4 linked regions of the Arabidopsis thaliana genome follow. The protein of the gene in region 3 purifies or fractionates together with the protein of the main gene of each other region. This does not show direct contact. Each region holds a gene or a part of one and is shown on either strand. Other genes may lie near its edges. The genes, in order: AAC1, AT5G25450, PHB3 and AT1G01170.

The links.
Region 1: the proteins of PHB3 (region 3) and AAC1 fractionate together in Arabidopsis thaliana (co-fractionation; one large-scale study listed by BioGRID). This does not show direct contact.
Region 2: the proteins of PHB3 (region 3) and AT5G25450 fractionate together in Arabidopsis thaliana (co-fractionation; one large-scale study listed by BioGRID). This does not show direct contact.
Region 4: the proteins of PHB3 (region 3) and AT1G01170 fractionate together in Arabidopsis thaliana (co-fractionation; one large-scale study listed by BioGRID). This does not show direct contact.

Annotation. Positions count from the first base shown.
Region 1 is NC_003074.8:2,603,327-2,611,330, reverse strand, and holds AAC1 (ADP/ATP carrier 1), read left to right. Parts: upstream 1-3,435; 5' UTR 3,436-3,697; intron 3,698-3,757; exon of another isoform or gene 3,758-3,799; intron 3,800-4,292; 5' UTR 4,293-4,300; coding exon 4,301-4,774; intron 4,775-4,857; coding exon 4,858-5,232; intron 5,233-5,328; coding exon 5,329-5,625; 3' UTR 5,626-5,896; downstream 5,897-8,004. Other genes in the region: iPGAM2 (Phosphoglycerate mutase, 2,3-bisphosphoglycerate-independent), read left to right, coding at 94-258, 354-632, 716-919, 1,011-1,435, 1,738-1,930, 2,010-2,105, 2,195-2,350, 2,484-2,648; AT3G08570 (Phototropic-responsive NPH3 family protein), read left to right, coding at 6,919-7,004, 7,127-7,193, 7,274-8,004. UniProt on the Arabidopsis thaliana protein: ADP:ATP antiporter that mediates import of ADP into the mitochondrial matrix for ATP synthesis, and export of ATP out to fuel the cell.
Region 2 is NC_003076.8:8,853,295-8,860,330, forward strand, and holds AT5G25450 (Cytochrome bd ubiquinol oxidase, 14kDa subunit), read left to right. Parts: upstream 1-3,622; 5' UTR 3,623-3,741; coding exon 3,742-3,835; intron 3,836-3,916; coding exon 3,917-4,074; coding exon of another isoform or gene 4,075-4,092; exon of another isoform or gene 4,093-4,354; coding exon 4,355-4,402; intron 4,403-4,486; coding exon 4,487-4,555; 3' UTR 4,556-5,182; downstream 5,183-7,036. Other genes in the region: AT5G25430 (HCO3- transporter family), read left to right, coding at 1-266, 347-626, 716-835, 918-965; AT5G25440 (Protein kinase superfamily protein), read right to left, coding at 1,681-1,961, 2,058-2,184, 2,267-2,409, 2,765-2,900, 3,026-3,279, 3,371-3,428. UniProt on the Arabidopsis thaliana protein: Component of the ubiquinol-cytochrome c oxidoreductase, a multisubunit transmembrane complex that is part of the mitochondrial electron transport chain which drives oxidative phosphorylation.
Region 3 is NC_003076.8:16,313,361-16,321,390, reverse strand, and holds PHB3 (prohibitin 3), read left to right. Parts: upstream 1-4,099; 5' UTR 4,100-4,769; coding exon 4,770-5,081; intron 5,082-5,280; coding exon 5,281-5,802; 3' UTR 5,803-5,820; intron 5,821-5,902; 3' UTR 5,903-6,541; downstream 6,542-8,030. Other genes in the region: G6PD6 (glucose-6-phosphate dehydrogenase 6), read right to left, coding at 6,835-7,002, 7,164-7,209, 7,324-7,439, 7,540-7,610, 7,717-7,812, 8,015-8,030. UniProt on the Arabidopsis thaliana protein: Prohibitin probably acts as a holdase/unfoldase for the stabilization of newly synthesized mitochondrial proteins. Necessary for mitochondrial and cell metabolism and biogenesis.
Region 4 is NC_003070.9:71,942-78,274, reverse strand, and holds AT1G01170 (ozone-responsive stress-like protein (DUF1138)), read left to right. Parts: upstream 1-3,537; 5' UTR 3,538-3,614; exon of another isoform or gene 3,615-3,819; 5' UTR 3,820-3,831; coding exon 3,832-3,937; intron 3,938-4,024; coding exon 4,025-4,170; 3' UTR 4,171-4,344; downstream 4,345-6,333. Other genes in the region: AT1G01180 (S-adenosyl-L-methionine-dependent methyltransferases superfamily protein), read right to left, coding at 1,719-2,642; GIF2 (GRF1-interacting factor 2), read right to left, coding at 4,392-4,453, 4,535-4,787, 4,880-4,988, 5,112-5,188, 5,259-5,360, 5,606-5,692; AT1G01150 (Homeodomain-like protein with RING/FYVE/PHD-type zinc finger domain-containing protein), read left to right, coding at 6,277-6,333.

The sequences.
Region 1 (8,004 bases), on a different chromosome or scaffold from region 3:
GGTAAGCTTCCGTTATCTCTCTCTCTCTCGCTTCTCAGATCTGTTCCTTAAACCTTTAATTTCTCACCGACGAGTGGATCTGAATCCACAGTTATGGGTAGCTCCGGCGACGTTAACTGGAAACTTGCGGACCACCCCAAGCTTCCCAAAGGCAAAACTATCGGTTTGATTGTTCTCGATGGATGGGGTGAATCTGATCCCGATCAATACAATTGCATCCATAAAGCTCCAACTCCTGCCATGGATTCCCTTAAAGACGTATGTTTCCTTTTTTGTTTATATCCACTTCTTTCCTCGATGATTTCGCTGGATTCCGATTATGGACTTCAACGGTTCGATTTTATTCTTCACAGGGGAAGCCCGACACATGGAGGTTGATCAAAGCTCATGGTACCGCCGTTGGTCTCCCCAGCGAAGACGACATGGGAAACAGTGAAGTTGGCCACAATGCTCTTGGAGCTGGTCGAATTTACGCTCAAGGTGCTAAGCTTGTTGATCTCGCCCTTGCTTCAGGGAAAATCTATGAAGATGAAGGTTTCAAATACATCTCTCAATCTTTTGAGAAAGGCACTGTGCACCTTATTGGTCTTCTAAGCGATGGTGGAGTTCACTCTCGTTTGGATCAAGTCCAGGTACTTAATTCTCATCTGTTACACATTTCTTTTGAAACGTTGGCGTTTGTTAATTTTCTTTAATTTGGTTCTGTTTGGTGCAGTTGCTGCTTAAGGGTTTTGCAGAACGTGGTGCTAAGAGAATCCGCGTCCATATTCTTACTGATGGTCGTGATGTTTTGGATGGTTCTAGTGTCGGATTTGTTGAAACTCTTGAAGCTGACCTAGCTGCTTTACGTGCGAAAGGTGTTGATGCTCAGGTTGCATCTGGTGGAGGTCGAATGTATGTCACAATGGACCGTTATGAGGTAGGCAATGCTTGTGAGATCTTGTATGAATGTCATGCCTTGTCTAGTCTAGTTTAGAAATGAATCCAATTTTTGCTTTCCTTCCTTGCAGAATGATTGGAGTGTTGTTAAACGAGGTTGGGATGCACAAGTCCTTGGGGAAGCTCCCCACAAATTTAAAAGCGCTCTTGAAGCAGTTAAGACACTGAGGGCAGAACCTGGTGCCAATGACCAGTATTTGCCTTCGTTTGTTATTGTTGATGATAATGGAAAGGCTGTGGGTCCAATTGTTGATGGTGACGCAGTTGTTACATTCAATTTCCGTGCTGATCGAATGGTCATGCATGCAAAGGCCCTCGAATACAAAGATTTCGACAAGTTTGATCGCGTACGTGTCCCTGATATACGTTATGCAGGAATGCTCCAATATGATGGAGAGCTTAAGCTTCCTAGCCGCTATCTTGTTTCTCCACCATTGATTGACAGAACTTCTGGTGAATATCTGGCACACAATGGCGTTCGTACTTTTGCTTGCAGGTTAACTTTTAGAATCTCTCAAATCTTTAGTTATTGTCTTTGCCATTTTCTTCTATTGCTGCTTCCTGGTTTATTTATTTGCTGGAATTGGATTCATAATTGAAACTGTGATAAGAGTAATCCAGTCTTCTTTACTTGCTCGGTAGAGGTCTAATTTATGATTGGGGGTTGTTTGTTGATTAAAACTAGTGAAATCTCCTAGCTCACTTTTTCTTGATGAGATTATACCGTTGATGGTTAGTTACATATAATGAATGAATTCTCAGCTATTAACCTATTAAAATTTTATTTCACTGAAACAGTGAGACTGTGAAGTTTGGCCATGTAACCTTCTTCTGGAATGGCAACCGCTCTGGATATTTCAATGAAAAGTTAGAAGAGTACGTTGAGATTCCAAGTGATAGTGGAATATCATTCAATGTCCAGCCAAAGATGAAAGCACTGGAAATTGCCGAGAAAGCAAGGGATGCTATCCTTAGTGGCAAGTTTGACCAGGTAAGGTGTATTCTCTTATCACATTGTATCAACCCATTAAAACAATTGGCTTCTGAGTTTGGTGCCAATGGATTTTCAGGTGCGTGTAAACCTGCCAAATGGAGATATGGTGGGGCATACTGGTGATATTGAAGCAACTGTTGTTGCCTGTGAAGCTGCTGATCGTGCTGTGAGGGTATGATTTCAATAAATTTGTGACATGGGAATGTTAGAAACCGTTCTTAGTAGCAATGACTCACTTAGTTTTGGTGTCCTGGTTTGCAGACAATCCTTGATGCCATAGAACAGGTCGGAGGGATATACGTTGTGACTGCAGATCACGGAAATGCTGAGGACATGGTTAAAAGGGACAAATCCGGCAAGCCTGCTCTCGATAAGGAAGGGAACCTTCAGATTCTTACCTCTCACACCCTTAAACCAGTAAGTTCTAGCACTACTAAAACAGTTCGTGTTATGACCATTGCAACTGAGCATAGATTAAGCATGAGGGGTTGTAATACCAGAAGTGGTTGGTGTATCTTATATGAAATTTGGACATGATGTGTGTGTGCAGGTGCCAATTGCCATAGGAGGTCCTGGCTTGTCAGCAGGAGTTAGGTTTAGACAGGATATCGAGACACCTGGGCTTGCAAATGTAGCTGCGACAGTGATGAACCTCCATGGATTTGTGGCCCCGAGTGACTATGAGACAAGTCTGATCGAAGTCGTCGAGAAGTGATGATTCTTGTTGTTGTAGTTCTTTTTAAAAGTCCCACCTGAGCCTCTATAGACTCTGATTCTCTTTTAAGTTACTATTTTCACCGCTCTCTAATAAGGCTCGTGATTTTTTGGGAGCCATACTGTATACTCGCCGGCCCTCTCACGATGTTGTTCAATTCACAGACTAAATTTGATTTATCTATTTCGCCAAAACATAACTTCATTAAAAAATGTTCTCCAAATAACTAAACGAATTAAATAAAAGAAACCTTTCATGTAAAGTTAAAGGTATGAGACTTTAAGGGCAGTTGCTGAACATTCGTAACACATGGGAGAACAATAGAGAAAGTTGAAAAGAAACGTAGCATATAGAAAAATTATCTTTGTAACCAAGTTGATTTAGAAAAATATCACTATTTGTGAAAAATACTAGATCAGTTTATTATTACTTTTTTTTTTTTTGTATATTCACAAATATCATATTCATATAGAAGAAAATAAACAAAGTTGTAAAAATCTGGCATTTAAAATAAAATTGAACACTTCAATTTATTTCCTTTCATAATAATAATTTTGGCATAAGATATTTGCAAATTGATCTGGTTCGGTATGGTCGACAAAATAATTTTCCACGCTACCCTTCCAGCCGTCCATTCACTATTTGCCCTCAACGTTACCAAATAACGGTCCAGATTCCTAGGGCAAGATCTAACGGTTAGCAAGTAAAGTCGTACCATCAGAAAGAATAACAATTCTTTCACAAAGTAAACATAACCAACGGTTAACAAGTTCTTAGGGTTAAATCAGTAAGATCCAACGGATATTAAATTGCAAGGCCCAAATAGTTTTTTTGCAGCAGATAATAACTCGTCCCCACTGGCGAGTGACGACCGAGACTCTGTGACCCTATTTTTCGAGACGATAAAAGGGCAAACAATCGCTCTTTTCAAAGCTCGCCTCTTCACCACAGAGAAAACTTCGTCTCTCTTCTCTGCTTCGCCCTCTCATTTCCTGTGAGATAAAGGCGGAGTCTCTCTCCAGTTATTTTGCTCATCCATCGATTCTTAGGTATGACTCGTTTCTCTCAGATCTGTGATTCTTTATAATCTCGTCGTTCTTCAAATCATTGTTATATTCGTTTCTTCGATCTGTGTTTTTTAGATCTGTAAGGTAAATGAGACGTTTCGATCTGTAGATCTGATTGTTATATTGATAGATTATGTTATCTGCTTTGCTTAAAGTCCGATCGGAATGTTTTGTGCTCATTGTCGAATATCTGATGTATCGGTTTCATAGATCTGCTTCTTTTTGTGCGTTTCGTTGATCTGATAATCTTCTAGTGATCAAAATCGTTTGGATCTGTTGACTTTAGTTTAAAATGTATCCGATCTGATGTCGAGGCTTCATTATTGGAAGTTGTTATTGTTGTAATCCTGATTTAAGTTGCTGTTCTTAAATTTATATGATCTTTGCGTTATAATATGACATGGTAGATCTTGGTTCATGGTTCACTGTTTTCCAATAAACTTGGTTTGTTTGGTTGGATAGCGTTCTGTGATACGACCATGTCTTGTGTTGGATAAGAATTCTCTGAATTTCCTTGGCTGGTTTGTAGTATGTTATTCACGTCTGGTTTCTCATCAATGATTATGTGATTTTGCAGAGTTCAAAATGGTTGATCAAGTTCAGCACCCCACTATTGCGCAGAAAGCTGCCGGGCAGTTCATGCGTTCAAGTGTTTCCAAGGACGTTCAAGTGGGTTACCAGAGGCCTTCTATGTATCAAAGACATGCAACCTACGGAAACTACTCCAATGCTGCATTTCAATTTCCTCCGACATCCCGGATGTTGGCAACAACTGCTTCTCCCGTGTTTGTCCAAACCCCAGGAGAGAAGGGGTTCACTAACTTTGCCCTTGACTTTCTGATGGGTGGTGTTTCTGCTGCCGTCTCCAAGACTGCTGCTGCTCCTATTGAACGTGTTAAGCTTTTGATCCAGAACCAGGATGAGATGATTAAAGCTGGCAGGCTTTCTGAACCCTACAAGGGTATTGGTGACTGTTTCGGCAGGACGATTAAGGATGAAGGTTTTGGTTCTCTATGGAGAGGAAACACTGCCAATGTTATCCGTTATTTCCCCACTCAGGTTTGTTGAGTTTCATACTCTTTCTTGTTATAGCTTTTGAAAAAACATAATTTTCTGCTAACCTTCTTTTTTGTCTATTGTAGGCCTTGAACTTTGCCTTCAAAGATTACTTCAAAAGACTTTTCAACTTTAAGAAGGACAGAGATGGTTACTGGAAGTGGTTTGCTGGTAACTTGGCATCTGGAGGAGCAGCTGGTGCCTCTTCCCTTCTGTTTGTGTACTCCCTTGACTATGCCCGTACCCGTCTAGCTAATGATGCCAAGGCTGCAAAGAAAGGAGGTGGTGGAAGACAGTTTGATGGTCTTGTTGATGTCTACAGAAAGACACTTAAGACTGATGGTATTGCTGGTCTGTACCGTGGATTCAACATCTCATGTGTTGGTATCATTGTCTACCGTGGTCTGTACTTTGGACTCTATGACTCTGTGAAGCCTGTTCTCCTCACTGGTGACTTACAGGTATGTCTTGTTGTCTTTCTCTCTGATCTGTGTGCTCTCTTGCCTATCATTGGTTGATATTGACATGTTGTGGTCGTTCTCTTTTGGTTATTTCAGGACAGTTTCTTCGCTAGTTTCGCTCTTGGATGGGTTATTACCAATGGTGCGGGTCTTGCATCCTACCCCATTGACACTGTCCGCAGAAGAATGATGATGACGTCTGGTGAAGCTGTCAAGTACAAGAGTTCTTTGGACGCCTTCAAGCAGATCCTCAAGAATGAAGGAGCCAAGTCACTCTTCAAGGGAGCTGGTGCCAACATTCTGCGTGCTGTTGCAGGTGCTGGTGTGCTTTCCGGTTACGACAAATTGCAGCTGATTGTCTTCGGTAAGAAGTACGGATCAGGAGGTGCCTAAGCATTGCTTCTTCCTCCTTTTTTCGATTTTAATTGCGGTTTTAAGGCCCGCAATAAACTGAGATGTTGATGAAATTTTTTTTGCTTAAGACTTAGGGAGGCATGTGCCCTAAACCAAATTTTATATCGTTCTGACGCCAACTTTTTTTACTTATGGAATAATTCATGTTTGAGAGAGTTTGTTAGACTCTTCGATTTTAAAGAATTTTGGATTTATGAAATAAATTCTTCTTTTTTATCTGATTACCATGTTATTTATAGTCTTAATCAACTTGCAATATTGATTTCGTTATCTTAGGTAGTATCTACAATCTAGTTCAGGCTATAAGTTAAAAAAATGCACGCATCCAAACCTGTGTAACTTAGAAGTTTTGTACGAAGTAGTGAACTTAAACTGTAGCAACAATGATGAAAGAAATGTTGCAAACTCATTGTTGAGAATATCACTTATATATTGCATGTCAATATTTCACTCTTCATATCCCTCATATTGCACCTATGTCTATATCAGTAGTAATGAGAGAGCGAATGCATAGAGCTCGGTTAACATGCATAAAACATGGAAAATGAGAGTGAAAAATCTACTATGCAAATCGCCCTTTAGCATCACCCATCTCTGAATTATTTTTGTGGAACAGAGTCATAGAGTTGCACATCAGTTTGGAATTATGAACATTGATAGAAATCAAGAAAACTTCCAATAAGAAGACACCAAACAGATATTTGAGTTAACAAAAGGTGTTTCTGAAAGCTTTGAAATAAATTAAAATAGTGATGTATTAGTGATTAAGGATCTAGAGATATTTAAAAGGATCTGTCATTTTGCCATTTGTCTGCTGCTATTGGAAGGATTTTGATCCGACAAGGATTTCACATCTCAAATCACCATGTCAATTGTTTGGTGAAACAAAATAGAGCAAAAGTAGTGGTGACAAAGTAGGGTTCATAGGTGGTTGGTTAGTATAAAAGAGAGATTAGATAGAAACTGAGAGTGGAGGTTGTAATAGAGACCTCAATTAGTAAAGTGAAAGTGTGCCCCCAAGAGACTATAATTGAGTCTTTATGGAGCTCCGTGCCACACACAACCCCCTCTCGGCTTTTCTCACGTGCTCTGAATCATACATCACCAAAAAAAGCATCTCTTCTTTTTTTTTTTGGAGTCAAGATTACGAAATTGAAAGTGCATTATAAAGTCTATTAGAGAGTTTTTAAAAAATCCGAGCAAGAAAAGGAAAGTGTTCAAAGCCTATATGTTTCTGAAAGGCTCCTCCTCAAATTCATACTCAAGGTCACAATGGGTATTATATCGGACAATGCTCAATCTCACTCGTCTTCCTCTGCCCCTGCTCCTTCCATCTTCTCCAGCTCCTTTGCCACTCGGTCTGTTCTCTGTCTCTCTTTCGTTCAAACATGTCAAAGTTTGTTCCTTTTATGCAATCACGTATAGATTTCTTACTTATCCGATGCATAAAGGATTCGTTTTTACCATATATAAATTGCAGCATATTCTCAGATGTTGCGGGAGACATCACAATTGTTGTTGATGGAGAGTCCTTTTTACTCCACAAGGTTAGTGATCTGTTTTTTTTTTTTGCCCACACAAAGTGTTCGACGGAATTTCAATTTACGATGTTTGAATTATTTTGCAGTTTCCTTTAGTGGCTCGGTGTGGAAAGATTAGGAAAATGGTGGCAGAGATGAAAGAATCATCTTCAAATCTCTCGCATACAGAGCTCCGAGACTTTCCAGGTGGGTCTAAGACGTTTGAACTCGCCATGAAGTTCTGCTACGGCATCAACTTCGAGATCACTATCTCCAACGTGGTTGCTATCCGTTGCGCAGCTGGTTATCTTGAGATGACAGAGGACTTCAAAGAAGAGAATTTGATTGCGCGGACCGAGACTTACCTCGAGCAAGTCGCGTTTCGCAGTCTTGAGAAGTCTGTGGAAGTCCTCTGTTCCTGTGAGACGCTTTATCCTCAAGACATTGCTGAAACTGCTCACATTCCTGATAGATGTGTGGAGGCTATCGCTGTGAATGCTTGCAGAGAACAGTTAGTGTTAGGGCTGTCACGGCTGAACCGAGGCACCGAGTCAGGGGAACTCAAGCGAGGAGATAGTCCTGAGTGGTGGATTGAAGACCTCTCTGCTCTGAGGATTGACTATTACGCACGAGTTGTCTCTGCGATGGCTAGAACAGGCTTGCGGTCAGAGAGTATCATAACGTCTTTGATGCATTACGCTCAAGAATCGTTGAAAGGTATTCGAAACTGCAAGGAGCGAACCAAGCTCGATTCGGGTACTTTTGAGAATGAACAGAGGAACGTCCTTGAAGCCATTGTTAGTCTTTTCCCAAATGACAATGTCCCTCTGAGTTTCCT
Region 2 (7,036 bases), 7.5 Mb from region 3:
GACGAAGGAGGCGATACAAAAGGAAAATTCGATCCCGATGTTCATATAGAGGCTAATTTACCGGTTAGAGTAAACGAGCAAAGAGTGAGCAATCTTTTGCAATCAGTTCTTGTTGGTTTAACACTTCTTGCAGTGACAGTCATTAAAATGATCCCAAGTTCAGTACTTTGGGGTTACTTTGCTTATATGGCGATAGACAGTCTCCCGGGAAACCAATTTTGGGAGAGATTGTTGCTTCTCTTTATTCCTCCTAGCCGGCTTTTCAAGTTAGTTAATATATATCTTTTCTTTAGTCTATTTTTAGAAAGGTCTGCCTTTCTCAATCACTGGTTTCATCTAAATGCAGAGTCTTGGAAGGAGTGCATGCTTCATTTGTGGAGTTGGTACCATACAGAGTGATTGTAACATTCACACTTTTCCAGTTGGTTTATTTTCTCTTGTGCTATGGTATGACATGGATTCCTATGGCCGGGATATTTTTCCCCGCACTCTTCTTTCTACTTATAAGTATAAGAGAACACTTGCTTCCCAAGTTATTCGATATGCAACACCTTCAAGTGTTAGATGCTTCTGACTATGAAGAAATAGTAGCAGCACCTATCCAACACTCAAGTTTCGCATATAGGGTAAACCTTTGGTCTCTTAATGAGTTTAAACTGATTCAGGGGCTTTTTGTGTACACGTGTGTGATACCTTTAAACCATTTTGTGAGCAGAAACTAGGGTCTTCTCATCATTTATCAGAAGGTGAAGATGAATTCTACGACGCGGAGATATTGGATGAGATGACTACAAGCAGAGGTGAAATAAGGATCCGAACCATAAGTTTTAAAGAGGTAATAAAAACAAATTATATCTATTCTACACAATCCAAGCATTGATATGAAAAAATGCATATAAACAAGAATCTTGTTTCAGGTGCACCCGGAGCCTGAAGAGAAGCATGTAACCTTTGAACCACATTAAAAAGAATCTTTTGCAATTGTTTTTGTACACAACTGTATTTGTGCATAGGCATACATTGACTATGTTATAACTTTCCTTATAGTGGAACTTTGTTTCAGCAATTAAATATGAGATTATTCAGCATTCAAATTATCCAGTACTTGCTGCATTATGGCCATTTATTCGGGTGACGGTGAAAGCATTATTTATAAGCTTATATATATGTCTTCCGCTTCATGAGGATAGCTAATAGCTATTCTCTAAATCCGGATCGATCACCTCTGCCATGAATACCTTGTCACCTCGTATTGCTTGCTTTGCAAGAAAAATGCGCCAAATTTCAAGACCAGTTAATAGCTAGCAAGAATAACAATGGTACACCAGTCAAAGTTATTTTAGAGGAGATAAAAGATTTTCACAACGCTTTTTGCTTTACACGTCATCTCTCGGTTATTCTTCTGACACATAGCGTGGCTCCAAAGTAATCATATTTTCAACGTATTGCAGAGAGAGAGGTCGAAGAAGATAATGATCATTGTATAGTGTAAAGGTTCAAAGTTGATTAGCATATAGCTCTGTTCTTGAGTGATGGATAAGAATGGAGAATTAGGTCTTGTTTCTTAATACTTCTCGTCATATACGAGTTATTGTATACAAATGCATACATTGACTATGTTATAACTGTCTTATAGTGAAACAATGTTTTCAGCATTAGTAACCCTTATATAGTTTCTCCTCAAATCTGAGCTATAGCATTCAGATTATCTAGCACTTCTTGCATGGTTGGTCGCATCTTCGGGTCTACCTCTAGGCATTGTTTAATAAGCTCGCACATAAGTCTTCCCGCTTCAAGTGGATAGCTATTCTTCAAATCTGGATCGATCATCTCCACAATGTTGTACTTTTTATTTTTTATTTCTCGCTTTGCTGAGATTGTGAGGTCTTTTCCTAAACCAGTTAACATTTTAAGTAGTATAACACCAAAGCTATACACATCGCCCGCCATGTTCGACATCCCTTCATTTGATTAGTGCAATCAATTAAGGTTAGTCTCTTTGAATTTAATGGTCACTTTTAACTTTAAGATATAAGGAAGAAGCAGAAGATTGTTGCCTGAGAGTATGTATTCGGGAGGTGGGTATTGATATCTAGGTGCTACATTTGAAAACCCGATGGTGTATACCAATTCATCGAGAGAAACTTTTGGCTTTCCAAAATAGGAAACTCTTGCGTTGAAGTCCTGCATATCCCATAAATGTCACTTTAAAGGTAAGGAGCAAGTATTCAAGAAAAAAAACAAAAAAGGCAAGGTGAATACAAACCGAGTCGAGCAGGATTTTCGAAGCAGTGAGATATCTGCGGTATAGACCGGCTTGCTTCCTAGAGTGCAAGAAGGCAAGACACTGAGCCGCTCCTATGGATATCTTAAGTCGTGTCTCCCACGGCAATGACTTTGGACGACTATCTATGATATTATATAAACCATTAAATCCAAAAGGAAGATGAATTACTATTGGATCTAAGGTTAAGATCGTAAACTCGTGAGAGCTCCAGAAATCAATTTGAGCAACTCTCTTTATTCCCTCTCTATGATATTAAATTATCTAGGAATCATTTAGCTTGGTGTTCTTCAATTAGTATATTTTCCTCACTTCCACTAAATAAAGCTCTAATGAGCTATCTCAATTTTTAGATCTAGTTTTAAAGCTCTTATTAAGAGCTCTTACCTTTGGGTCTTGCTCGAGCAAGATTCTTCTTGCTTTGAGTCTACTCACAAGATATAATGACGAAAAGGAGATGAATAAACTTAACTTCCTTACCTCTACTGATGTAACTTCCTAAGCTTCCATTTGGAAAGTATTCAGAAACAATAAACAACATATCACGATCATAACAGTAGCCAATTAGCTTCACCAAGCTTGGATGAGAGTTATGTCGTAGAAACTCTACGTCAACCTACAAAAATATCATCTCTAATGTTAAGACACACTGACCCATCTCTAGGGGTAGGCAACATAGACATTTACCATCCAAAAACATCAAAAAATTTAGAAGAATAAATAAGTAACAAGAAACTTAACAATATTATTGGTTTTGCCGAAGGTTCTCCTATAGATTGAGATGATATAATTACTTACAAGCCAATCTTGAAAAGCTTGTTCATTGGCTAAGTAAATTTTCTTGACCGCGACGGCCATGCCAACACCTTTCTTGGCCGGAGATAACGTTTTGGGATTGATGTATCCCAAGCTCTCTCCTAGTTCCATCTGGTTTCCGAAATCATTAGTCGCTTTCTTCAGATCTGCCACCGTGAAGACTTTCACACCCTCCTCCACTATACATATATTATAACAAAACTTATATCCATTATAGTAACATTCAAATCAAAAGTACTTAAATCCGCAGAGAAATATATATATGTATACCTGATTTGGGAGCATTTGGTTCGGTGGGAAGTGTCGAAGCTGAGAGACAATTTCCCATTCGGATACTCTCTGCTAAATCTTAACACTAGAGTTCAATGAAGAAGAGAGGACTTTTAGTTTTTCACACCGAGGAGCAAAGTCAACGAAAACGCGTTTGAGAGTCAACGGTTGACGCGTTTTATTTGGTGAGTCATACGACGCCGTTTTTTGATAAGAGTACATACTACGCCGTTTGGCTAGAGTTTCATACGACGGCGTTTAAACAGATGTCTCTGGATGCTTCTTCCTTCTTCGTTCCCGGGTTAAATTACAAATAGCGGCGAAGGGGTTTCATCACAATTCACATCTTCAACGTTACTCCGAAGAAGATAATGGCGTCGTTTCTCCAGAGACTAGTAGATCCCAGGAAGAATTTCTTAGCTCGTATGCATATGAAGTCTGTTTCTAATCGCCTCCGCAGATACGGTACTCTTTCTTTCTCTCTTACCCTAGAAACCAAACCCTAATTCTCTTCTGGCTGATTTTGGGAATTTTACGATTTTTTAGGTCTTAGATACGACGATCTTTATGATCCTTTGTATGATTTGGATATTAAAGAAGCTCTTAATCGTTTACCGAGAGAGATTGTTGATGCTCGGAACCAGCGTCTTATGCGTGCAATGGATCTTTCTATGAAACATGAATACCTCCCAGATAATCTTCAGGTATGTTTTAGTCTCTAAGTAAGTGACAACAGAGCTAAAACGGTATATAGCTATGGAGTTTGTAGATAGAGCTTGCAAGATTTGACTTAAGACTTGTATTAGGATCAAGAACACTCTGTTTTCAGAAACCTGTTTTGGTTCTGTAATATAATTGTAACTTGATAAGCTTTGTAAGATCTTGTCTATGAAAGAAGTTTTTTTTGAGATAGTGCTTGTTAGTTGTGAGATAGGAAGCTTATGTAAATCTTTTTTTCTTTTCCTTGTCTCTGTAATTCCACAGGCAGTGCAGACTCCATTCAGGAGCTACCTCCAAGACATGTTGGCTCTTGTAAGAACAAAAACAGTTTTATCTATCTTGTAGTGATAGAAGAATCATATAGCAAAGTTCTAACACACGACACTTCATGTGCAGGTGAAGCGGGAGAGAGCTGAGAGAGAGGCTTTGGGAGCTTTACCTCTCTACCAAAGAACCATTCCTTAAGCATGTTAGTCTCTCTTGTGCTTATAGTAGGGTCACTGTTTTAGTACTCTTTAGGCTTCAATACCGCACAATTTGCTTTTGTATGGTTATGCATGGATATGTGAACCTTATGTATAAGATTTTATGAGATTGAATTGGATGTGTAATGTAAGCTTGATTGAGCTATTACAGAAATATGAGTAAAATATCCCACACCGGTAGGAGGAGAGTAAATCATGCTACATAAAGACATAAAGGCACACAAACCCTTAAGCTAGCTTTTGGAAATGTTTTCACAGTTCCTCATAGGAGCTCTGAAGAGAGGCGTGTAACCTCTGAACCACAATCCTTTATAACCCTTAGTTTGTCCTCTCAAATATGGGCTATAGCATTCAAATTATCTAGCACTTGTTGCATGGATGGTCTTTCCTTGGGATCTCTTTCAAGGCAGTTTTATGAGCTTGCACATACGCATCCCCTCTTCAACACGATAGCTATTCTCTAAATCTGGATCGATCATTTCCACAATGTTTTCTTTTCTATTCTCTGTTGCTTCCTCTGCTAAGATGATGCACGGGTTTCCCAAACCAGTTAAGATCTCAAATAGTATAACACCGAAGCTGTATACATCGCCCGCCATGTGTGATCTCCCTGTATATGCGTATTACCGTGCAATCAGTTTTAGGTTAGTGTATGAATTTTAATGGTCATTCTGTAGCTTGAGAGAGGACTTACCTGAGAATATGTATTCAGGAGGTTCGTAGTAAATTCTAAGAAATGCGCTCAATACAATTTTCTAGCTTGCTTACTCCTATAAATGTAACGCTCTAAGCTTCCGTTTGGAAAGTATTCAGAAACAATGAACAACAATTATCATCCGAACCGTAACCAATGAGCTTGACCAAGCTTGGATGCAGGTTATGTCGTAGAAACTCTAGGTCAACCTACAAACCTCGGCTGCCGTGTTAAGCATACATATATGAGTGATCAGTCTCTCTCGTAGAGGTTAATTTCTTACAAATCACTTTTGCAAGGCTTCTTCATAGGTTAAGTAAAATCTCTTAACGGCGATGGCCATGCCAACACCTTCCTTAGATGGAGATAACGTCTTGGGATTGATGTGTCTCCTCACACAGATTCATATATACCTGGAATTGTTGCAAGTTGTTCGGTTAGAAAACAGTTTCCCATGCCTATAAGATCCGCTTTCTTGACAGTTAAACAGAGTTTGAGGAAGAAGATGATTCACCTTACTTATCTAGATCTACTCCACCGGGCTTCAAGGTTCTGGAGTAAGCCATTGAGTATATGGACGTCTCAAGTCAATGTGTTAAAATGTCAACGCGTTGGAAAATGTCAACAAGGGAACCACCAACTTTTGTAGTTTATAGTTATAGTTTTAAACCTATGACGTGGAGCACAATATTCAAGTTTGTAGTTTAAATTGATCTTGCAAGATTGAACATAAGACTTGTATAAGGATCAAGAATCGTCTGTGTTTAAAGAGCCCTTTTGTGAACAACCTTACATAATTAGCTTTTTCCCATAGCCAATTTTGAATTTTTTTTTTTGTCGTAGCCAATTTTGATTTAATATACACAAATATTCATATTCATATTCATATCTTTTTTTTTCGTAGGGTTCATATTCATATCTTGTGCTAATAATGATCAAAGAATAATAGTTTATATAATTTTATGAATTTGTAGTCTTGTAGCATGAACTTTTCTCTGTCTTGTAGTGTTAGGGGGCTTATTGCAAAGTTCTTACACGATACTTCATATGCAGGTGAAGCGGGAGAGGCTTCGGGAGCATTACCTTTCTACCAAAGAAACATTCCTTAAGCATGTTAGTCTCTTGTACTATATAACTAAAGCCCACTTAACCAAACATTCCTTATGGCTCTTTAGGCTCCAATCTACCACACAATTTTACCTTTTATGGTTATGTACGGTTCACTTAAACACTGAACTTATACATAAGATTGATGTGTAATGTAAACTTGATCATTAAGTTAGATGTTAATGTTTACACAATTCCTCAAAGATGCCACTTTTAAACATTTTTTACATGAATCATATATATACAACGATGCTTTGCACGGTCTAGTGAATAAGTGTCGAGGTAGATAAGAATGAGATAAGGTATTTAAAGTATTTAATAGAGTGGTGTCAGTAGAGAGAACGATATGGATTTGTATTTGAAGACATTTCCATGTGAGTCACATTAGCACAGGAGGGTCCTTTGCCTAAATTCATTAATGAATTACTTAACAGAAATAAAATGACAATGTTCAATTAAATGTGAGTAGACTTACTCCTATTCTTTTCTCTCACTTGCCAAATGCCAAATTGCCAATAATTATTTATTACTGATGATTATTAAAAAAAATATTTTTCTTTTTGCGGAGATTTATTAAATATTGCATGATTTTAAAAAATAGTTATAGCCTAGCTTCCAAAAAGCCAAATTTATGTAGCTAAATGTTAAAACAATAGTATA
Region 3 (8,030 bases):
GAACTAGTTTGCACTTTGCACTAAGATGCTATCCACTTTTTTCTCCAATTTCTTGTGGATCTAATTGATACATAGTTTTTATTTTATTTTTAGCATTGGAGAATATCTTATAGATCTAATGTCGATAAATTTTGGGATATTTGAATCTCTCTTATATTTGTACTTTGATTCAATTTAATGAATGAGATAAGTATCTCTCCAAAAAACTATAGAACATGAAGGAATTTGTCGATAAACGTTTTCTAATGTTTTTAGAAACTATAGAAATTCTTAGAATACAATTTCACATATAGTTTAGAACATGAAGGAAATTTTAGAACATGAAGGAAATTGTAGAACTCTTCTAAATTTAATTTCCCCAATAAGATTTAGCAAACTGATCGATATTTGATCAAACATTTGAATTTTAGCGAATATGTGAATACCAAATGGCTGGCTAAATTGGATCAAGTACAAATAGAAATAGATAACAAATATCGATCTGGAAAGTGTGTTTAGCGTTTAGTACAGTGTTTAGCGTTGACCGCCGCAAACTTGTAGCCAAACAGTCCATTATTGATATTTTGTGCACTCTCAAAACGTCATCTTATGTAAATCTCAAAACAGGGAAATATTATATTTCTGTTCAAACTATTGAGTCTTCTGACTAAACCATTTATATATTGTTTATGATCTCTACAAGACTACAAATTTATATTTTCGTTTTTTAAAAGTTAAATATGATAATAAAAACAAAAAAACTATTGTCTCGGTGAGACAACCAAAAATATGCCTCTGTGTGCGTATTTGATGGTTTTACGCAACCTTTAAAGTCAATAATTTTATCTATGACTCTGTGATAATAGTTTTGTTTGTAGCAAATGATCTTTTGGTTACGCACATCATAGGAGTATTAATTATTCGTTAAATATCAAAAGTATCAGATGTCTCCGTTTCTCATTTCTTCTTGGCAATGTTTTAAAAATATTTCGAAAACAAAATATGGTCATTGTTCAATTTCCACTATTAATGTTCTGCTTTTAGTTTGTACATAAAATTTAATTCATTGTTGCTAGTGTTTAAATGTGAAGGAGCTAGGAAAGTTCGTAGAAATGCACCAAATGAAGACTTTTGAGAAAATGATAGAGTCAATGAAAAGAAGAGATAATGAAGTGTATGGTTCACTTCTATGTTCTAACAATCTCTATTTTCTTAAAATTATTTATTTTGTCATTTTCTATCTTGTCATGTTCCTGCTTTTCGGTCAAGTGGCTTTCTTCCATTGACTTATATTTTGTTATTGTTATTTAATTAGTTGGAATAATGTTTTACGACGATTTCCATATTAATTCTTGAATTAAAATACTATAGAAACTAGTTGCCCCAAAAAAGAAAAACTATAGAAACTAAGAAGATGTGTAAAATAAAATATTTATATACGGATTCATCAACATGGTTGAAAAAATTAAGGTATCATCATAAGATTAATTAGTTAAAAATTTCAAGCAAATAGGTATAGTGATGAAAAAAAAAAAGAAAAAAAAAGGTATAGTGATGAATGTTATTTGTATGATGAGTCCTTAATTCTAACTAAATTCATCATTATCCGATTCCGAACAACTCCTATATGCACAAAGAATATTTTTACTCTCGATTTATCTCGTCGTTATGCATGTGAGCATTTATGTGATGACATGTTATGGCTTATGATAATAATAACAATGATTAGAAAATGTTATTGAAATGTTTAAAAGTCAAAACTGTTTTATAGTTAGGTTTTTGTGTGTGGAATTTATTGGGATTGAAGAAAAAACGTGTAAAGTAAAACTCTGTTGGGAAAGTTATTTAATGAGTCAACTGATGAAGTTCGAATTTTTTCCAAAAAAGAGAAAAATAGACGAACAAATTAGCGTATAAATACTAATACCATATAAATAGATTAAACGCAAGATGAATCTATCTCATGTAAAACTTTATGAAAATATAGTAGACAAAAATAAAAAAAGAGATACGTTGTTCAAAGAAGCAACTCACTAAATATCCTATATATATGAATTACTGGTTTAAATAACCTAATTACAGTTTACAGGAGTTTTATATGGATGTTGTCCAATGTCGTAAGCTCATAATCTTAGACTTGTTATGTTTATTTCAATAGAAGCGTGTAGACTAAACCGCAATTGGCAACTCGAGTGTTCCGTCTGTATCTCCGCATCGAATGAGAGATACATGCTTATGTAATATAGTTCAGCGCGGGCATGTTTGTATCTGCATTTAGTGATTGTGCAAACAAAAATCAAATGATCAAAGTAGTTAATGCCTCCAGTGAAGCATCTCGGAAGCTGTACACGAGAGGAAGTTTTCTTCAAAGAAATAATCAGTTGACTCGGTTTAATTGTTACGTGTCACCTAGTGTTGTAGGTTAAGGATGAAATTTATCTCCACCAGATTGCAAATTTATTTTTATTTACTCGTCAATCTATTTCATCTTCGTTGTATATGGTCAACGAAACTATTAGATTACAATCAATTGATTTTATAATTATTACTAAGGTATGAATAATTTCAACACCACCAATTAGCTATAGTTTCGATCTGCACTTTGACACTAAATTATAATTTTTATAATTTAGTGTATCAACGTGACATCATGTATGTGATAATTAGCTTACATTATCTTATACTAGTTTGTAAACAAATACTGGCCATTGGTGGAGGAAAATTATGTGCACTAAACAACAAATGAGCATCCATTATAGCTTAGACTAAAGAATATTTGCATTATATGTAATGAGTCTCATATTTAAGTAAATGGCAATTCTAAAATTTTTTCACTAGCTAGATAAAAACACATCAATACTTTTTATTGATCTACCATTGGTGGTCAGATGATAATTCGATTCAATGTTTAGCCTAAACATATTCTTTCTGACCGATTAAAAACCAAGTGAACGTTTTGTTTTGGTCGATCTATCCCAAGATTAGTTGGACTTTGTTCCAAATTTCTTGATGAGCAAACACAAAAGTGTAAATTGTTTCTTATTATTGTTGTCATGTACCATATATATATATTTGACAAAATAACCTAGTATAGTAGTAGTAGTATATATATAATTATATATATATATATTAATATTAGTTTCAGTTTGTTTATTTTACAATTATACACTTCTCACTCTAATTGGTTATCAAAGATTCATGTTTCCTTCACTTGGGTTGTTTCTTTTACCTGTTTCGATAATATTGATGACTACATATATATCCGGTTGGAGTCAAAATGTTGAAAGAATCGAATTTAGCTCAATCTTTGAAGTTGGCGTTTAGTTTTTGAAATTAAAGATTTCTCTGCAATATTTTAATTGAAAATCAATATTGAAGGACTTTTCTGTAATATAAATCTATTTTAAAGGTTATTTTCAAACCTGTATAAGATTCGACACCGAAACATTTGACATTTTCGATAACGTGGTGAGGTCACTGTGTGACCTTCCAAGTAAAACTCCATAATTTTCTTAGTATTCGAGACGACTTAATTGAGTCATATTAATTAAGTGATACATAATATCTCTATATTTTTTTGGTCGAAGATACATAACAATTTTACGGATAAAATATTTGGAGATTTACATGCTTTCAGATTCAGTTTTAATACTCGTGTACATCTGTCTTCAAATCCCACTTAACCGAATAGAAAAGTATTCGCGTATACTGTTTGTTGGTCAAAAAATAGTCACAAAAAGTTTTCAAAAATAGATATCATTGTTTCACAACTTTTCTTTTAAGGAAAAAAAAACACTTTTTATACTGGAAAAACTCAACAACAACGTCCCCTGCCGTTATATTTGAAAAGGATTAATCATGCTCACATGTAAATATTTTTCTTATACGAAAAAGTAGTTATCCTTATTCAACTTCGTGTTTGTCAAGTAGCTCGAAGAATATTTTTGTTCACTACCGTTGGCTTGTACTAATCTAATACTTTTATAGTAGGCCCTTAACACCATACAAATGTCCAAGTAGGTATATTCTTCAATTTTTATTTGATTAAACAAATTGAGATAAACTATTGGCGTTGACCGATCTTGGTTTTCATTGCCTCGATTTTGCTGTTTTATATTTGGTTTCTTCTTGCTGGTTGGGATGCTGTTTTTGAACTGTGAGGTAGTCTTCATTTGTTATAAGAAGAGCTGCTATCTTGATGCTGTGGATTAGAATTTCCCCGTCGTTTAGCCATTTCTGCAAGCTTTTCTTTATCTTGGATTGATGGTGGGCAATGTCTCATGTGCTAGATTCTGGTTATAGTTTTTGATTTTCCATGGTTCAGTTTCTATTTTCTTATGCATTTAAAGTAATGTTTGTTAGCTTCCCATACTTTTGGGCTTTAGTCTCCGAGGATTTTTGTTATCCGTCGACTTAGTTTTTGAGATTATCTTGTTAATCGTCAGCTTTAACTTTGTAAACTCTATCTATAATCTATCTTTCAGTAAAAAAAAAATAAAAAAAATTGAGAGAAACATAATTTATGAGACAAAAAGATATTAAACATACTCTGTAACCGTTAAGCTGTTTTCAGCCCAATGTCATGAAACCCATTATTGAATTTAGTTCTTAATAGGCTTATATAGTCACATAATAATATTGGGCTAAGTTACTTGGCCCATTAAATCATTTCCCGTGGTAGGTTCCAGAAACATATCATAAACCCTAGCAGAAACTCTTTCCTCTCTCGTCGTCTCAAATCTCTTCTTCCTTCTTCTTCTCTCTCGATTCAAGATAATCCACACGCAAAAATGGGAAGCCAACAAGCGGCTGTTTCGTTCCTTTCCAATTTGGCGAAGGCTGCTTTCGGTCTTGGAACGGCGGCGACGGTGCTGAATACATCGCTTTTCACCGTTGACGGCGGAGAAAGAGCTGTTATCTTCGATCGATTCAGGGGAGTGATGGATCAGACTGTGGGTGAAGGGACTCATTTCTTGATCCCGATTCTTCAGAGGCCTCACATCTTCGATATCCGCACGAAGCCTCACACGTTCTCTTCAATCTCTGGTACTAAGGATCTCCAGATGGTTAATCTCACTCTTCGTGTTCTCTCTCGTCCTGAGGTATAACGCATAACGGTTCTTCATTTTTGATCTAGACTCGTTTGATTTCTCTGAATTGAGGTTTTTCAGATTCATTTGCGAATTGGATTTAGGGTTTAGGGTTTTGATGATCTATGATTTTCAAAATTTGTTTCGAGGACTAGGTATTGTAGAATCGTTATTAATTTGGTGTGTTTATGTGATGTGAATTGTTGTGAAGGTGTCGCGTCTCCCGTACATCTTCCAAACTTTGGGTCTAGAGTATGACGAGAAGGTTCTTCCTTCGATTGGAAATGAGGTTTTGAAAGCTGTGGTTGCACAGTTCAACGCTGACCAGCTTCTCACTGAGCGTCCTCACGTCTCAGCACTTGTTCGGGAGTCACTAATCACCCGTGCGAAGGACTTCAACATTGTGCTTGATGATGTAGCTATCACGCATTTGTCCTATGGTGTGGAGTTTTCAAGGGCTGTTGAGCAGAAACAAGTGGCTCAGCAAGAGGCAGAGAGGTCTAAGTTTGTTGTGATGAAGGCTGATCAAGAGAGGAGAGCTGCGGTTATAAGAGCTGAAGGTGAAAGTGAAGCTGCTCAGTTGATTTCTGATGCTACGGCTAAAGCTGGTATGGGACTTATCGAGCTTAGGAGGATTGAAGCTTCAAGGGAGATTGCGTCTACACTTGCTAGGTCTCCTAATGTGGCCTACTTACCCGGTGGCCAGAGCATGCTCTTTGCCCTGAACCGTTGATCTTGATCAGATATGATGGTATGTAAAAGCTTCATCTGAATCCATAGAATTAAGTCGTTTTGTGATTTGTCTGAAGGCTTTGTATTATGGTTATGTGCAGGTTGTTTGGGAGCATTTTGCGATATTTTAATGATCAAGTTGTGAATCTGATTGAATCAAAAAGGTGAAATGCTCTTTTGTTTTGATGAACTCTGAAGAAGAAAAAGAAACTAGTTGTTTGAGTTGTCATTATTGTGTTCTGAATCTCGGCAAAATTTACTCTACCTGAAGAATCTTTGTTTTCAGCATCATGTTTATCTAATTCTCAACAAATAAATGATTTTGGCTGAACTGTAAGTAATTTGTTTGTTACACATGCGTGAGAAAAGAAAATACAGATGGTACCTAGGAGTGTTGTTCTATGCGGATAAACTATGGTCACATCTGGATTATCTAGATGGTACCTATTTTGCATAAACTGTCGATAGTCTACGTCAAATTTCGATCTGTATGGACATTCAATTGTTTTTGCATAAACAGAGCAAGTTCAGAAACAAAGCAAATAAAGAAGAGAAATCATGAAAGATAGCCTTTTCTATCGAGATCCATTTTATCCATCGGTTTTAGTTTTTTTTTTTTTGGTCATCTAATGATAATGATGACTATGTAAAGACGGCGTCGGTTCCTAGACTCAACTTATGTGTCTGTGTCAACAAACTCTAGATGGAACTTAATGTGTGTTTCAACCACCTCTAGATTGAACTTATGTGTGTATATCAACAAACTCTACATTTTTTGGCAATTTTTTCTATCTCATCGTCAATTTCATTCATTTAACGAGCACAACAAAAGCTAAATTCATTTATGGTATTGGTAAGATTTTTATTTTTATTTCTACAAAGCCGCAAATACAAGACCAAAGGAAGTGTCAAAGTGAACAGCTGAAGTAGCAAGTTTCACGTACAAACACCAAACTCGAGGAGGGACTATTCAGCATAATTTATACATATACATGTAGATACATGTATTGTGTATTTATATATATGTAGGGTTTTATAGTGTAGGAGGGATCCAGATATAGCCGTGAGTCTGAAGATAACCAGCTTTCTCTAGTAGCTGATCAGCTTCTTTCGGTCCTCGGCTTCCTGGTTTGTATGGGATTGACTTTACTTCTCCTTTGTCGATCCTGTGGAGTAGCGGCGTGAAGATCTCCCACGCAACCTGTAATAATCATCAAAATGGATACAAATGTTAGCTCCTGAATTGTATGATGCAAAAGTTTGTGTCTGGATTGTGTCTATAGTTAGAGCATTTGTAATGTAACAAAAAAACGATCTCAGAGACTGCTTTGGTTTAAGGGTGGCGTTAGAAAATGTTTCTACCTTTAATTCGTCTCTACGAACGAAATGTTGTTGATCGCCTTTGATTCTGCAGAGAGATGGAAAGAAAATATGTTGAAGATAACATGAAGGAACAGAAGGCATCAATTAGATATATAAAGCCTATTGGGGTAGTATATAATTTAGAAAATTTATTTCTTACGTGTCAAGAATTAAGCGCTCGTATGCCTCAGGGATAGCGACACCTTGATACCGTTGCCCATACGACAAGTCTAGTTCACTTTGCACAGTATTCATATCTAGACCTGGTTGCTTAACCTGTGTAGCAAAAGCATAGCCAAAAGCGTTATGGTTCACTGTAGTGGTTCAAGGTCAGAGTAATTAGTAAATTATGTTTGTTTGTTCATCATATACTTACAGTTAGTTTCATGTACATTGCCTCTGAAGGTTGCAAGCGTATCACAAACTCGTTCCTTCCTTGCTTTTGACCTGTTGCAAGAGAGTTTAGACAAAGCGATACATTGTGTCTTTACATATATTTAAATTCAAAAAGCTAAAAGAAGATTCAAAACACGATGTCAGGGCAAGACAATACATCTGAATATGTCGCCTGGGACATCCTTGAATTGAATGCGAATTTCTGCCTTCCTTGAATTCAACGCTTTTCCGGCCTTTAATATAAATGGAACACCTGAAAGATATATCCAGGACCGTTAGAATGTGCATGCAAACATGTCGGATTTTGGTTCCACATGCTTTAACCAAAAGATTGATGCTATCTATGATCATGTTGACCCATCAAACCTCTGTTTTTTCTTCATATTTTATGTCAATTTCCAGATTGTTTCTGAACTGATAGATGAAAATATGAAGAGTGAAGTGGGACATGGTACCTTCCCATCTTTCGTT
Region 4 (6,333 bases), on a different chromosome or scaffold from region 3:
GATAATTATCGTTATGGGCTTTATTCTTGTTGTGGCGGTGAGAGCGGAATGTAATTGTGTTCACGACAACGGCGAAAAGCCGGAGAAGATATGATGGCAAATCTACTACATAAGGAAGAGAGAAACTAGATTCGGAATCTTTTGGAAGTAATTTACAACTGAAACAAATAAAGAAAGAAAGATACCTTTTGAAATCAGAGAGCCTTCCCTTTTAGCTTTCTGATCATCGTTATCCCCCCAAACAACGAATTCAATTTTGTTGTTTTTCTTCAGAAATCGAACACACACACAAACACTCGACTAGATTACTTGATTTGAAGAGTGGAAATCAAGATCATCTAAGTAAAAAAAGAATTAGAAGAGAAAGAGATAACAAACTAACGATCTTCAAATTGAGGGAATTTCGATCGATTAGGTCTCTCTGGGGTTATAAACACGTCTCACTATGTATCACAAAGACACAAACAATATTGAATGGAAACAAATAAAAGGAAATCTTTGTAACGGAAACGGGGACAAAAATAAATGAAATGGGATCAATATGGCAGACGAAATTCCTAAAGTACCCCAAGATTATAGAGAAGCTTCCGTTATCGTTCGTTTCTAAATAAGACTGACTTTGCAATGTGACTTCTTCAATGGCCCATCTGTCTTACAATCTCGTATTAGGCCCAATTATGTTTAATTGTAATTCTGCTTTGCTTAGAGGTTGTGCTTTTTTTTTTTTTTTTCACTGAAAGATATATTTTATATTCAAGACTGTAACCAAATATACAAAAAGTTAGGATCAAGGACAATCATTCTAGATCAACCACAATGAGTATTACACTAAGCAATACTTCTTTCTTTCTCAAAAAGATGTTTCAGCCAAAAAGGAAACCCGGTTGCTACATACGATTGGCGGCGATCCTCCATTGTCACGCTCTTGGCAATAAGATGAGCTCCAAGATTAGAGCTTCTTACTTCACCACACAATTCCAATCCAAAAAATTACTTAATTCTCCCAACAAAAAGTGAATCTGAAATTTATACGAAGGCCAAGACGGCAGTCGCGTAACAGCTCCAATTAGATCATTGTCTTCAGAGGCAAAGATGATTTTATCAACTCTGAGACTTTTCATACTCTCCATGGCCCATTGCCAACAAAGAAAAGTAGCATCAAGCTTGCTATGAACAGATGCAAAAGATCTTCTAGCATGAATTAGGACCTTACCGTGTTCATCTCTCAAAAACCCGCGCAGCACCTCCAATCTCACCAAATCTATCCCATGACGATCTAATATTGCATTTTAACCAATCATGGGGAGGAGGAGACCACTTAACCTTAACCGAAATGTGAACAGCTTGCTCATTCACCAAATCCTGATTCTCAAGAACTTGAGCAAAGAACCATTGATTGGCATCCTCTTTAATCTTCGCAACAGTTTTTGAGATCGCAAATCTTGTCCCTTTATTAATTACCTTTTTCACAGAAAAAAATAATATTCTGAAAATACACTTCCATGGAACACTTCATCAATTTGAAGTAAAAACAAAAAAAATGATGTTTTTTTTGTTTCACCTGATCAATCAAATATTTTTTCTCATTACACAATCAAAAACCTCAAATCCATTAATTTTCAAAAGATGGAAAAAAAATATGAATTGACTATGCAATATTACACATTTTCTTATTATTTATACATCGAATTTTTTCATTCCTTATGGGAAAAAGGGAATCAGGTTACTTTGACCGAATCAATAACCCAATGTTGACCATCGGTTTTGACCTTTAACCGGTTAATCTCTGCGAACAGATTCACGGCTCTCCTCACTCCTCTATTATCCGCCGCCGTGAAATAATCGTGACCAAATATAACACCGCCGGGTCGGAGTATCCGAACCGCCCGGTTTATATCCGCCCATGCCGAATTAAAATCGTGACCCGCGTCTATCTCCACCAGGTCCGCCGTCACTCCCCACTCACACAGCTTCTCCAAAGCCGAACCGGTCGAGAAAGGAACCGGCAATATCGAACCGGAAAAATCCGAGATAACCACGTTTTGCATAAACTGGTACATAAGCAGAACGTCACCGTTAACCAAAGCCATGTCCTTAAACCGGTCTCGAAAACCGGGCCAGCCACGGAAGTCGTCGACGCATAGAATCTGAGTCTCCTCGAGCCCAAGTCGGCGCGTGAGATTCGCCATGTGTATCGCCGACGCGCCGAGAAAACTCCCGACTTCGACGATCGTCTTAGGTTTGACTCGGCGGATTAGATTCTCGAAAACGGCCCCGTATGATCCCCAACCTTTGATTCTTTTTGGCCGGAGAAACTTCTTGGCGTGCGGTGGTGGGAAATCGATGTACGGAGAAGTTCCGTTAAAGATCCGGTCAATAACAGTCTGGCGAATCAATTCCGGCGGAACAAGATTGCCGCATGGAGTCGTAACTCGGAAGTTGTCGATTGAACAAACTTGAGGTTTTGTCGTTTCCACGGCTGTCGTAGACGGTGGCAGCTGCTGCTGCAGCGGTTGATGATAGTGGTAGGCGGAGAAGTAACCAAAGGCGTAGGTTAGAACTATGACGATAACGTACGCAGCCTTGGTTTTCAAGAATTGGAAGGCGTCGCGTTTGTGAGGAAGACGACGATCCTCCTTCATGGTCAAGATTTCTGAGAATGAAGAATCAAGTAAAAACAAAATAGGATTAAGGAAGGATAATTGTTTTTGTTATTAAGTTTATATAATTCGAATTATGGAAATTTATTTATGATTATTTTGGCGGGTCAGTTTGTTGAGACGTTTAAATACAGTCGGATAAGGAAATTGCTCACGTCGTGATCTAATTTATTTGTATTTATTTGACTTTACGTGTCTAGAAAGCTACATGTGATGTAGTCATTTACAATCAAAATCATTTGCTTTAATCCTTGACTTAATTCATTCTGTATTTCGGGTTTTATGAGTTTAGAAAAACCATATAAAACAAAAACTTATTTAACTCCCCTAGACCTATTAATAAATGAAACTACGAATCTCTAATCTTTAGTGTATTTACAGTTTTCCAACGAAATCATATGTTATAACACGACACGACCTCAATAGTCAATAATAAGTAGAATCATGTTTTGAACATGTCAAATGCAGCACTGATTCGAAAGAATAAAGAAAAAAAGAGTTTTGAATCGTAATTCTGCAAGAATTAAAGTGTAGTGTTTAATATATGTGGCATTCGCCGAGATCATCTTATAATAGAGTATGTGTCATACGCCGAAAACAATGTTGGACACTTGGACCTTTCCTTACTGATAAATAAATAAATTCATATCAACTAGCAAATTAGCATATTACAGGTTTTGGTTATAACAATTACTCGAGCTAGACGTATGATGAAATTCAGCAAACTAGTAGATTTGCTATTATATCTTCCCTTGTGATGATTGTAGTTTTGTCTCTTAATAAAACTAGTAATTAACGTTTCAGAAAACAATGCCCATTTTGGTAATTTCACAGAGATTTATCCAAAGTTTTTAAAGAGATAAGACGATAGAGTTGGACGACCGTCTTCCACCGTTGAATTCTTCTGGAACTGGAGTCCACTGTTTAAGCTTCACTGTCTCTGAATCGGCAAAGGTAAACGTATCAATTATTCTACAAACCCTTTTATTTTTCTTTTGAATTACCGTCTTCATTGGTTATATGATAACTTGATAAGTAAAGCTTCAATAATTGAATTTGATCTGTGTTTTTTTGGCCTTAATACTAAATCCTTACATAAGCTTTGTTGCTTCTCCTCTTGTGAGTTGAGTGTTAAGTTGTAATAATGGTTCACTTTCAGCTTTAGAAGAAAATGGCATCAGGAGGTAAAGCCAAGTACATAATCGGTGCTCTCATCGGTTCTTTCGGAATCTCATACATCTTCGACAAAGTTATCTCTGATAATAAGATCTTTGGAGGCAAGTTCTGCTCAAGATTTATCTAGTTTTGTGTGTGTTTTCAAGTTAGGGACGATCTTAATGGTTATCTTCTTGTGAAAATTTCAGGGACTACTCCAGGAACTGTCTCTAACAAAGAATGGTGGGCAGCAACGGATGAGAAATTCCAAGCATGGCCAAGAACCGCTGGTCCTCCCGTTGTTATGAATCCCATTAGCCGTCAGAATTTCATCGTCAAGACTCGTCCGGAATGAGAAAATAATAAGTTCAATGCTTTGATTTTCAGAATAAGATGAACGATGACGATGTTTTCTAAATCCGAGCTTGTACTAAATAACAATACATTACAACACGGTTTGCGGAACTACTCCACAGTCTATCTTCTGTTAAAAAACTCAAACAAGCTATTGCAAAAAGCCCTTACGAGACTCACAAGTCCTAAATATCAACAAAACAAAGCTTCTTTGGATCCTTTTCACTTGCCATCATCTTTTCCTTGTCCATCTGCTCCATCTTGCTTTCCTCCTCTAAGCCCCACTGTTAGCAAAGAAAGAAGTAATGGATACAAGTTACAATTTATGAGATTGAGTATTGTCTTAATAATGTAAAGAGAGTTACCGTTTCCTCCAAGACCGGTTTCTGGTTGTTGCATCGCATGCTGCATCCCGTTGTTGGTCATACCCATTGGTCTAATCCCCATGTGTCCTTGCATAGCTTGCTGATGTATCTGCTGCTGCTGTTGCGGATCCTGAAACTGGAGTGGGCTACCAAACTGTAAAGGACCCCTTGGAGCGAAAATCCCTGCAGGGGATGCTTGTGGGTGTTGCATGAAGTAGCTAGGTGGTTGCATCCCAGAATGCGGTGTTGCCATCTAACAGAAATCATACCCAACAGTAAGCAAACCCCCAAACAACATTAAATTTCTGTGATAGATCGCAATTGAGTTTTATCATCACAAACAACCTGGGCAGCGACAGCTGTAGATGGTGAAGGTCCTGGCGTAGGTGGTGGGGGTTGAGCATCAGCAATTGCAGCAAGATACATCAAGTTCTTCTGGAGAAGAGCTTGGTACCTGAAAATATAACAGAGCAAAAGATAGAATAACTATATAAACCTCACCATTAATAATAGTAATTCTAAGCTTCCATTACTATCTAAGAGACATAAGAAGATGGATAGAAAAGGTGAGACTTACTGGGCGCACTCAGCAAGTTTACCGAGATTCTGGTTTTCCATGATGGCCATAATCAGCTTCTTGTTCTCATCAAGGTACTGCGTTTAAGCAAAGGAAAGAGAATGACAAGGAAATGACGATGCAGCCTATCATCTTACCATGGAAGACATCAAGCCAAGAGAAAGTACAAAACAACAACATCAAGCAAGCATCTAACTTCAATGTCCATTCTTGAAAACCGGATTCAAAGTTTCCTGACCCACCAAGCATCTACTAATTTCCTAGTCCTAGAAACTGTCTCTTCTCATCATCACCAACAACAGACTCTCAAGTGTTGTGGAATTAACGAGAAAGATTCAAATGAAAACCCTAATTGCCACCAATTACAGTCAAAAGAGTATTACTTGCACTCAGAAGCCAATGATTTTGTCAGTACAAAAAAGCTCTAAGAGCCTCCTAAGTAGTGTTGAACAAATTAAGAGAGAGGGAGAGATATAGGGTGAGAAAGAAGGAACCTTTTGGATCTGTTCGGTAGTGATGTTGTTAGCAGGGGGAATCGACGGAACCATCGGAAACATTTGCGGAGACTGCTGCTGCTGCATCTTCTTCTTCTTTACTACTTACTTTGCCCCAACTAAACCCTAATTTCGTCTTCCCCAAAAAACCCTCGACAAAACCCAGACCGATCCAAACGCAGGAAATGATTGCAAGCTATATCTATATATATTATAGAGAGAGAATCCTGCAATTTATTACTTGGATTCACCTGGATGTCGAACCACCTCTGTGTGGATTTTATGACCAAAAATGCCTCTGTCTCTCTCTCTCTCTCTCTAATTTGTCTTTACAAAACTCTAAACGAAAACATAAAACATTAATTAATACAGCAACGAGCAACCTCTAACCAAATTAGAAAGTTTTGGATATATTTGGGCCAATGGGAAAAAAGGACATATTTGGGCCTAAGACGGTTCTAAGGCCCATGGACCATCGAGAAAGTTACATTGCAAAGTACTACATTGAGTCAGTTTCTTCCTTCTTCGCCTAAATTCGAAATTTCGAAACCTCAGACACACTTACAGAGAGACCAAACGGTAACATACAGTAGCTTCTTTTTCTTATTCGTTAAGAAATCTCACGTAAACCCTTCGAATTTCTCAAATCTTCACTCGGAATCTGAAAAAAAATGGTGAGTGATCTCCCGCTTGATGAAGATGATATCGCTCTCCTCAAGAGTCCTTAT